Linked DNA regions of Caenorhabditis elegans. The protein of the gene in region 2 purifies or fractionates together with the protein of the main gene of each other region. This does not show direct contact. Each region holds a gene or a part of one and is shown on either strand. Other genes may lie near its edges. The genes, in order: egl-17 and lrp-2.

The links.
Region 1: the proteins of lrp-2 (region 2) and egl-17 purify together in Caenorhabditis elegans (affinity purification with western blotting, with the first as the bait; one study listed by BioGRID). This does not show direct contact.

What each region holds. Positions count from the first base shown.
Region 1 is NC_003284.9:487,754-493,010, reverse strand, and holds egl-17 (uncharacterized protein), read right to left. Parts: upstream 3,327-5,257; 5' UTR 3,282-3,326; intron 3,236-3,281; 5' UTR 3,218-3,235; coding exon 3,165-3,217; intron 3,144-3,164; exon of another isoform or gene 3,072-3,143; intron 2,453-3,071; coding exon 2,313-2,452; intron 2,212-2,312; coding exon 2,108-2,211; intron 1,592-2,107; coding exon 1,495-1,591; intron 1,106-1,494; coding exon 849-1,105; 3' UTR 693-848; downstream 1-692.
Region 2 is NC_003279.8:3,950,692-3,955,856, forward strand, and holds the start of lrp-2 (EGF-like domain-containing protein), read right to left. Parts: upstream 3,301-5,165; 5' UTR 3,252-3,300; coding exon 3,167-3,251; intron 2,756-3,166; coding exon 2,609-2,755; intron 2,527-2,608; coding exon 2,389-2,526; intron 2,337-2,388; coding exon 2,061-2,336; intron 1,766-2,060; coding exon 1,646-1,765; intron 1,579-1,645; coding exon 1-1,578.

The DNA.
Region 1 (5,257 bases), on a different chromosome or scaffold from region 2:
ACACGCGTTTTGATTGACTGATGTTAAACTGAAAATATGAGGTGGTTTTTTTGTGAATCTTGTAAAATAACAAAGTAAACTGGTTTTGACAGATACGCTCCTAAGAGATTGAGAGCAGGGGTGCGCGGCAAACGCCGGTCGCCAATTGAATTTTCGGATCAGAATTGCTGGAAATATAAATTTGATACTTTTTGTAGATTAAGGAGCCTAAACATGAATTTCACTGAACAATTTTCTATCTTCAAACTCAAAATGATTTAATCCATGATTAAACGTTTTCTGATAGGAAATGACTAACCGAAAAAAATCGACAATTTAGGCAACTTCGGCAACTATTACCGTAATTAGCCAAAAATTTTTGAAACCGGCAATTGCCGAAATTGCCAATTGCAGCGCACACCTGAATTGGTTTTTTTTGAGAGTCAATTTAAAAAATTCAGTTTTATATTTTAATTATGTTCAAAATATTCAATAATATTCAATAATTTTCTCCGGATTTTTTTGTTGCTTTTTTATGTATTGTTTAAAATTATTCAAAAAAGATGATGGAAAACATTTTTCAAACACTTGGAAACATTGGAACTAGATTTTGAACACTTATGGCAAGTCTACGTGGATGAATCTGATATTAATCTGAAATTAATTCTGAAAATAATTATTGCTAACTGATTTTTTGATTGGTTTAGAGACAGAAAAACGTAAACTTCATTAAAACACACAAATGCCGAAAAAATTTTCAAACTTAAACATTTTATTATTCGATAATTTTGACGGTTTACATATTCTATAATGGTACATATACAAACATTCGGAATTATCTGGAACAATGATATATTCATGCAATTATCTTATGATTTTCTGGATTTCATTGTACGATACAAACTATCATGTGTGGCAGATACTTTTTTCAAAAAATTTGAACGAACTGCATGATGGACAAATGACGAGTGCTCAAGTGGGGAGGGTGATAATTTTGGTTTTGGGGGAGTTGAGCAGACGCTTTTCTCGGATTCTGCAACATAACGGACAAGCTTGATCCAGTCAAAACATCTTGGCTTTAAATGATAGGATAAAGGATTTTGAAATCTACCACGACCGTTGAAGCCTGTAAAAATTTAATTTGGAATAAAGTTGGTGTAGTTTATTTCTGTTTATTGCTTTAATAATGAAACTTCTCGAGAACTTATCAAAAAAAGTTCAAAAAGTTCGGCTCAAAAAATGACCTAAATTAGTTAAAATTTGAAATTTGACCGACTTGTCAAAGTATCTTTTTTAAAGGATTAAATTTAAAACCGTTTAATTTTGTGTATAGCAGTACATCATTTTTCGTTTTCAGCTCAATGTAGGTACTTTGAGGTAGATGGACGACCAGATTTGAAAAAAAAATCAAATAAAATTAATTATTGCAACTAACTATTTATGACTAACTTTTCCAATAATATTTTCCATTTTCAAATGTATTCATTCAATTTTTTTTGCAGTTCCATCACATACCTAAATAAAGTTCGGGTTTCCATGAAGACCGTAATCGAGAAAACCCATTATCCCGAACTTCTTCAATAAATGTGCATTTGGCGTCGCTTCCATTAAACTGAAATGTTCGGATTGTTTTTTCAGAAATGTTGTAAATTTAATGTTAGTTTTTAATTGAGTTTAAAAAAAATTTACCTGATAAAGCATACTTTTCAATGAACAATAGTATTAAAATAAACATTCGCGTAAAATTTTAAAAAATCAGTGAAAAAACTATTAAAAAGCATTTTGGGGAAAAACCCCCATATGTACCCAACTTTCTTGTGCACACATTTCATCATTTAATAAACGGATTATAAATATTCAGGGTACGCATGTGTTTCGTATACATCCATTTAGTTCTCAAAAATGCGATCGAAATCTTTATAGCGATGCGCGGAACCCAAAAAGTCCCGGACGCGAAACGAAGTTTGCACCAAATAGTGTCATACCCTATAGCACTATTTCGTGCAAACTTAACTCCACGTCGGACTCTCTTTGGGTTTCGCGCATCGCTATAAACATTTCGATCGCGGCGTGAGACGCCGAATGGGAGCCCTAATTTTGAAAAAATAGGTTTAAAAAAAGTTGATACCCTCAAAGTTATCCTTGCTCTTTTGTTAAAGCACAAAAACTTTCTCGACTGTGCATGTTGTAACCGAAACTTTCCATCCCATTCTCCAACCACATTCCAATCGGCTACAAACATATAATATTGCATCAATGTTCTTACTTCGATGACATCAAACTTTTCAAACAGATGACTCATAGCTATACTGAACGGAACAATGAAAACTCACTTAGACAATGTTTGTCCGGATATCCCCTTGTGTTCAGGGAGCCTAGAAATGACTGTAACATGCCTTGGCTGCATTCATTGAATAGTTGCCAATGGGTCTCACCGAGATAATGAACGTTTGGTTTTATTTGAAATCGTGCGCTGCAATTTTTTTATTGAGCCTATTTAAGGTTGAAGTATACATTCTCCTAAAACTAAAACATTTTTCAAGTAGATATGAATAAATTTTTCTAAATGTAAAATTAAATTTGTCTTCACATTTTCAAAAATTCTCTTCACAGTCATGATTAACATTGTTTTTTTAATTCTCAAAAGGTCAAACTGTCCGAAAAATTTACAAGATACCAAAATAAACAGTTTTGGAATTTTTTTCTTAAATTCGGTTATGGTAAAAATAATTATGTACGTATTTAGATAGAATCCTCACTGGGGATACTGAAAAAAGTAATTTTTCGCAATGTCTGGCATATTACGAGTTCATCGGTTTAACTCATTTTAAAGTTGATATAGTGGGAACAAATTTCATGTGAATTTTTTTCAAAGAGATTTTCAAATACTTCGGAACACTTTGGTGGTAAAAACTTTAAAAAAAATTAAAACGGATAGGTTTTCACAAATGAATCTTATAAATTTACGCTCGTCGTTTTAATTTTTAAGCCATCAATGAATTTTTTTTCACCACCTCCCTGCGCTTATTGTATTCTATCAACATGTTCCTATCCCGCCTTTATATTTTCTCTCGTCTTTTCCTATTAATGTGTCCTCGGTAGTATAGTGGTGAGTATCCGCGTCTGTCACATGCGAGACCCGGGTTCAATTCCCGGCCGGGGAGAACTTTTTTTGCGACACTCACCATGTATTCCGAAAGTTTGTCGACAACATCAGGGTGAGTAGGACTTTGAGCATAGCTCACATTTCGGGCACCTGAAAAATCATTGTTTTTAATTGTGACATGAACAAGTGGACCAACCTTGGAATTTTATAAATTAGAGTCGGAAATCAAAGATGGATGCCTGTAAAACGATTTTCACAGCGGGGACACACATTGGGTAAAACAAAAACGGAAACTAAAAATGCAATTGAAAACATATTACAAAAGTAACATAATCGAGCGGCTGAGACGCCACGTAGAAGAAGCGGCGGTGTTCGTTGGAAGAAATCAGATCAGAAACAAGAATTTAATCAACTTTTTTGTCACTTTTTTCTTTCAAAACACATTGTAATTACAACTTGAAGTTGTCGGACAATTGTATCGAGACGGAGGAAAGTTGGTAAAGACAGACGATATAAGAGATGAGGGGGGAAACTAGAAAACTGAGGAAAACTATTGACTGGACATCATATTAAGATGACATTTTCATACATGTGGTACACACACAAAATATAACTTTGTTGGTGAGTAGGTTTTAAAGCTTACAAGAAACATGTTTTCGTTTTTTTGAAAGTAGGTATCCGCAAAAATTTAGCGGAAGAGCTATACCCTTAAATGCTACTACAATCTTCAGAAATTTGCAAAAATCCCCTTCTGGAGTAATGACAGAATTTGAAAGTAATGCAAAGAGCATAAAAAGTAGTTAATATAATGAAAGATCTGTACATGAACCAAATTAATTCAAAACGATGAGATTTTAGTCTAATTGTTTTCTCGAAGCTACCTTATCACACCTATACGGAACTTGCCTATGGGGTCACAATGACCGAATATCATGATAAAAAATTCAACAAACATTTCTAGATTTTAAATTATTTTTTTGAAAATTCGAAAAATCTCAGTTTTCCCCTAATTCCTATTTGAATTACCGCCAATTGAACTCGTTCGTTGGAGCGCGATTGCATTATTTTCATTAATTTTTATGTTCTCATTATTTCACTAACAACAGTGAAATAATGAGAACAAATAAAAACATTAATGAAAATAATGCAAGCGCGCTCCAACGAACGAGTTCAATAGGCGGTAATTCAAATAGGAATTAGGGGAAAACTGAGATTTTTCCAAATTCCCAAAAATCATATAAAATCTTGAATTTTTTTTGAATTTTTATATCATGATATTCGGTCATTGTGACCCCATAGGAATCTTTTAAAGCAAATCTCCCACAGAGTATAGTCCACTTTTAAACAAAAAAAACCATTGAAAAACTTTAAACCTCAGAAAAATTATTAAACATCACATGAAAAACTGAACGGTAGACAAGTAACCAGAGGACAAACGAAAAAAAAAAACGTTTGGTATAGAATTACCGCAACAACTTTACCGCGTTTTTCCTGGCTTCTCATGTCTTAAAAACGTCATTTGGAAAAGTAGTTTAAGAAATTGGCGTACGCTTTCTGGTTATGAAACTGTCTTTTTCGCCATGTGTGCGCAAGCAAACATACATATGAAAATTACCAAGGACGTGAAAGAAAAGGAGGGTGACGGGGGAGGAGACAGTGATTAATCAGAGTCGCACCGGGGGTTGGCCGTTTTTGAATTTTGGGATTTTTGACGGCTTTTCGAAAATAATAATTTTTTATGAGCTTGTGATGAGAATTTAAAATTTAAGCAAAAGTAAATAACAGGAGGTCATTAAATTACGCTTCCTTATCTGATTCTTGTGATAATTTGATATTCTTTGAGCGCTATTGGTTTTGTACCACTACTGTATTCATGCTATTAGCACGGTTGTAATAATACTTCTCAGATAAACTTACCAATCATAATTGCAAGACTGATAGGGAATGTAATACTATGTTTCTAGAGAATTTTGATTAAAACATCTAGCTTTCATATACAAAAGTAAACGAATTTCAGCCTTTTTTAATGGAAAAAGAAATGCCCCCACGCAGGATTGAACTACGGACCTTTGGTTTACAAGACCAACGCTCTACCACTGAGCTATAAGGGCGTCGGTTTGTGGATCTTTATCGCGTGGGAAAAACAGAGAATTTTGAATGTTTTTTTGAATG
Region 2 (5,165 bases):
ACAAGTAATCATTTTTAAGATCCAAAGTCAATCCATTAATCCACATTGCGTTCTTCGAGACTAACGTTTTTCGTTCACTTCCGTCAAGTTTCGATCGTTCAATCATTGCAGGGATCTTCTCATCGTCATTATTGTCCTCATTCCAACTTCCCCAAAAAAGATAGCTCTTTGCAATGTGGATGGCGATGGCTCTTGGATTGCTCATATTCCCACTAACAACTACTTTTTGGATGGAAAGATTTGAAAGTCTTTGAACCGTAATTATCTTTCGTCGTTGATCAGTCATGTAGAGGTTATCCGATGTAAAATCATAAGCCATTCCTTCACAGTTCATGATTCCAGTAAGTCCGTGAACTGTGTAATTTGTGGATCCAATCTTTTGCACTACAAGTGAATGCCTTCTCAAATCATACATCAGAAGTTGTTCTCCTTTTGGATCAAAAGTCATTGCACTCGGACGTTTGACATTCAGAAGATCTGAGACTCCGATGATCTCTGTCCGATAGTTCTTGTCGAATCCAAGGATCTTGATCCTCGAAGGTCTTAACTGAGCAAGAACAAATAATTCTTCATCTTTAAGATCTTTCGAGGCGGAACATTTTGTGTTATTCTGAATGTACCCATCTCTACAAAAACACGACGAAGTTTGATTGATATGCCCTATACACATATCATCACACATTGCCGCTTTGCAAATATTCTTTCCCTTGTTCTTCCATGCATGCTCATTTCGTCGAAAGTGCAAAACTTCAAGGATCTGAATATTCTCGTTCCCTTGTTTTCTCTGAGGTGTCACTTCCTGCCAAATCTTCATATCAGAATTCGAATCCAATGCATTCATTGCAAATACTCGATTGTCTTTCAGTGTCAGAAACAACCGACCCTCTGCGTAATCAATCATTTTAACTTCTTTCGCAATTCGGCCACTAACAATAGTTCTTGAGTAGTTTGCATTATAGTCAACGGCTTTGATGGATCGTGCGCCAATATCCACAAAGTATAATGTCTCGGTGAATGGGTCAATTGCAAGTGCAGGAGAAGTAATCGGTTGATAGGATAGTCGGTATCGTTGACCAGATGCTACATCGATTCTCCATATTCCTTGTTGTAAAACATCAACTTCAGATACCAAAAGCTGTCCGTTCAATCCATCATACTTCATATCTTGAATTGTTCCCATATCACCTGCGGTAACAGTTCGACAGGACGATATTCGTACACTATTATGCTTGCAAATGAATACATAATAAGAAGCATCCGTAAAAATCCAGTTGTTACCAATATTATCGAATCGTATGATGTGAATAGAAGACAAATCAAAATCAATTGCATAAGTCTTGGTTGCAGGTTCGGAGCCTTCAACATTTCCGCATGTGATATAACTATCATTTGCCGATGGAGATTCGGAGAGACAGAGTATTGGAACAGTGGCCTCCGGGAAGTCAGGATGCTGGATGACAAGAGTCATTGCTCCGGGTTTTCCTAGTGGTCGAGGCATGCTTGAATAGCTAGACATCTTGTTTTTCTGAAGCACAAAGAGCTTTTTCTTGGTGAGAATTGCTACACTGGGGATGGTTTCTGAAATAAGTTTTTTGTTTTTTTTTTTTTGAAATAAAAGTGTTCATCAAAAAAATTTTAAACTCACGATCTTTATCAGCCACACAATGCGTTCCATTGACAACTGTGAGCCTGGGATCGAAGCAGGAACACGTGAAAGTACCGTTCTTGTTGTCAGTGCAATCTTGACTGCATACAGGGGGAAGTCCTGAAAGTCTACTTTTCACTTTCTGAAGTTTTTTAAACATTTATTTCCCATGTTGTTGCTTTGTCTTATTCTTAGACGTTTTTGTCGATTTCTCATCGATTTTTTTTTCAAACTTCGCCCGTTTTTTTTCTTTTTTCTAAATAAAAAAACGTTGAAAAAATTTAAAGCAAAATTTTTTTTTAAATTCATTCAGGGGCTATTTTAAAGTTCATCCTAACAATTTGAGCTTTACCTTTTTAAAACGTAGGAAACGTAAAACTGTTGAATATTTTTTCATACTTAAAAAAAAACTCACCATTTTTGGTTCGTTCACAATGATTTACAAATTCACATTTTCCTTGCTCATTCAAAAACTTGTTCTTCGGACAGTAACACTTGATTCCATCAATCGTCATTGCTGCTCCATACTCACAACTGTCGGCTGTCTTTGGATCTTCCACGTGGCACATCGAATGCTCATCCGAGCCATCCGAACAGTCGCGTTTACCATCACAGAATTTGAAGAGAGGCACGCATTGTGCGGATTTTGAACACGCGTACTCGTTGTAATCACAGTGTAGTGGTTGATTGCCTGGAAAGTTTAGACATGAAGCGCCACGAAAATAAAATTTTCAAAGACTTACAAAGTTCAGGAGCTTCATCAGAAAGGTCGCGGTCTCCGTTTGGAAGACGTCCACAGTCGTATTGCGAATCACACAAATAGCCACGTGGCAGACATTTACCCGTTTTGCACACAAACTCGTTTTCTAGACACGTTCGTTCTGAAATTGGAATAATTAAACGAATTTTGTGGTTGAAATATGTTCTCAAAAAGACAATAGAAAAATTAAAATAGCAACTCACTACACGTGGAAGGCTCATCTGAACTGTCCTGACAATCTGGAAACCCGTCACAATACCACTGTTCCGGATAGCATTTTGGACCGCCCGGCGATTTTGCATCGCATTCTCGCATCGGTGCAACACATTCTGGGTAGTGGGGTTGGGTTTCTGAAAAAGGTTTTTTGATTCCGAAAAGTAAAAAAAATACAGGCAATTTGCTATTTTTCCAAATTTATACGGCTTTAGAATAAAATTTTTTCAAACTATTTGAAAATTCTCGATGCATTTACACACTTCACGAGTAAATTTTACTACACTGACATGGCAAAATTTTCCGAATTTTGAAAATATACAGTATCCGGTCTTAGTACAAAAATACTTCGTTAAGCGTAAGAAGGTGTGTGCCTTTGAAGATTACTGTAATTTCCAACCACTTGTTTCTACAAAACTTCATTGATTTTTCAACACATTTTTAGATTAAAAAAAATCAACGTCTTTGAAAATTACTGGCGCCCACACTTTACATTTAACAAAAAAAAATTTCGTGACTGGATCGAGTACCGTAGGAAAAAAGCTCACCCTCCGCTGACGTCTCATCTGACTGAACGAGGCTGAAACCCTGAAGGGCAACAAGAAGAATAACTAAATAACGGGCGGAGAGCATCGGAATGTGTGCAGCACCTTCATGGAGAGTCGAGAGGTACAGGTTTTGACTGAAATTAGCAAAAAAAGATGAAAAAGGAAAAAAGGGAGACAAGTTCAAAAGTCAAAAAGTAAAACGATTACGAGAAATCAATGTGATTTTAATTCAAGAACCCCCTTCTGTCTAATTGCCATTTCGTTTCGGTTCAGATGACCCAATATATTGTAGATGTTCAAATGGCAATAGAGAGAGAAAAGAAGAAAGTAAGACATTTGGAAAAGAGAAGGAAAGATGGCGATGAGCCAAATGCAATAAACAAAATTAAACTGACAAAGAGGAAATGTGAACACGAACACGAACACACAAGATTTATAAAGTATGAGGCGTTGGGGGAAGGGAAGAAGGAGCAGGAAGACGAAGTCAAAAAACAAGTTTGCTCTTTTTTATGAGATTTTTCTCAGAAAGAAGCTAGCAAAAAAAAAATCCATTTTTCGCTTTTACCGGAAAAGGTAACCGAGCAAAAACTAACTGTAAAACTCAGCGATTTATTAATTTTACACCTTTTTTAAAAATTACTTTTGGAATTTTAAATGCAAGTATTTTTAACGTATTCAATTTTTTTGGTTTTCTTGTGTTTTTTTTTGGTTTAGATCAATTCATAAAACGAATTGTATTAAACTAAAACACAAAACTAAAAAAATACTTTTTAGAAAGTAACATTCCAAATTAAAAAAAAATTTATGGAGTCCCTCAAGGAGTATAAACTAAAACTATTGAAGCTCTCCACGCAAGAATCCTTTTTAAAACCCCAAAAAGAAAATAACCAAACTACCTACAATTTTGAGATTTCCCTCACCAACAGACAACAAGGCCAAAAAAGGTACACGAGTAGAGAAGATGAGACTCAGACTGGTCGAGTAAAAATGAAACAATGAAAAATAACTTTTTGGTGATTCGGGGCAGTGTCAAAGGCAATTGGCAGGCGACGACGAAGAAGAAAAGAGTTATGTTTTGGTACATAGGCGGCGATGAAAGAAATGGGAAAGGAAGGTGGGGGGGGGGGGGGGGGTAAATGGAACAGTATGTGGACACAAAGAGGCAATTTAATAGATTGACTGTGAAAACGTTTAGCGTAAGTACATTCAATTAATAGTTTACAATACTGAGAGCAAAAATATAAGTTTTCGTTTTCTAGAAATAAATTGGCACAACTTTAGCAGATTCTCATAGATATCAAAAAAAAAAATTTAACTGCAAATTTGTAGAGTTAGTCACGATAAATGTTTTGTCAGTTTACAACTTTTTAGTAAAATCAAAAACTAACGAAATATGGACGCTGTAGTTTCAATAGTTATGGTTAAGTGCAAAAGTTATGCAAAAAAATTGAACAGCTAGCACGCGCACCTTCTAAAAATTTCAAACATGGCGTCTGCAAGAGTACGCTTTTTTTGCTCCACTGAGACTTTTTTATGAATAAAGCGAACTAAGAGCTCCTGAATAATTTCATCCAGACCGCACACATTCGACGCGCAACAATAAAAAAACGGAATGTGATCCGACAAAAAGCGGCAAGTAAGTAGGCAATAAAACTGGAGACATTCATCTCTGGGTGTCTTTTTTTGACTTTTCAAGAAGAAGAAGAAAAATGAACGGAAGTTGAGAAAAAGAGAGAGAAACGCAGAACGATAAATGGTTGAGCCAAGTGCGTGGCCGACGAAAAAGCGGATGTATATTTGGTAAATCGAGTAGAAGTGGAGAGGGTAAATGTTTATGGTATTTCGTGCATTTGGAGCATTTAAATTGTGGTAGTTATTGGGTTCATAACAAGTTTTTTTTGGGAAATTACGTGACTTTTTTTGGAAGCAGCAGTTCTAGGTTTTGGGAGATGTGGGAAAAAGTTTTGGAATCGGAAATTCTAAAGTTTACTGCAAATTG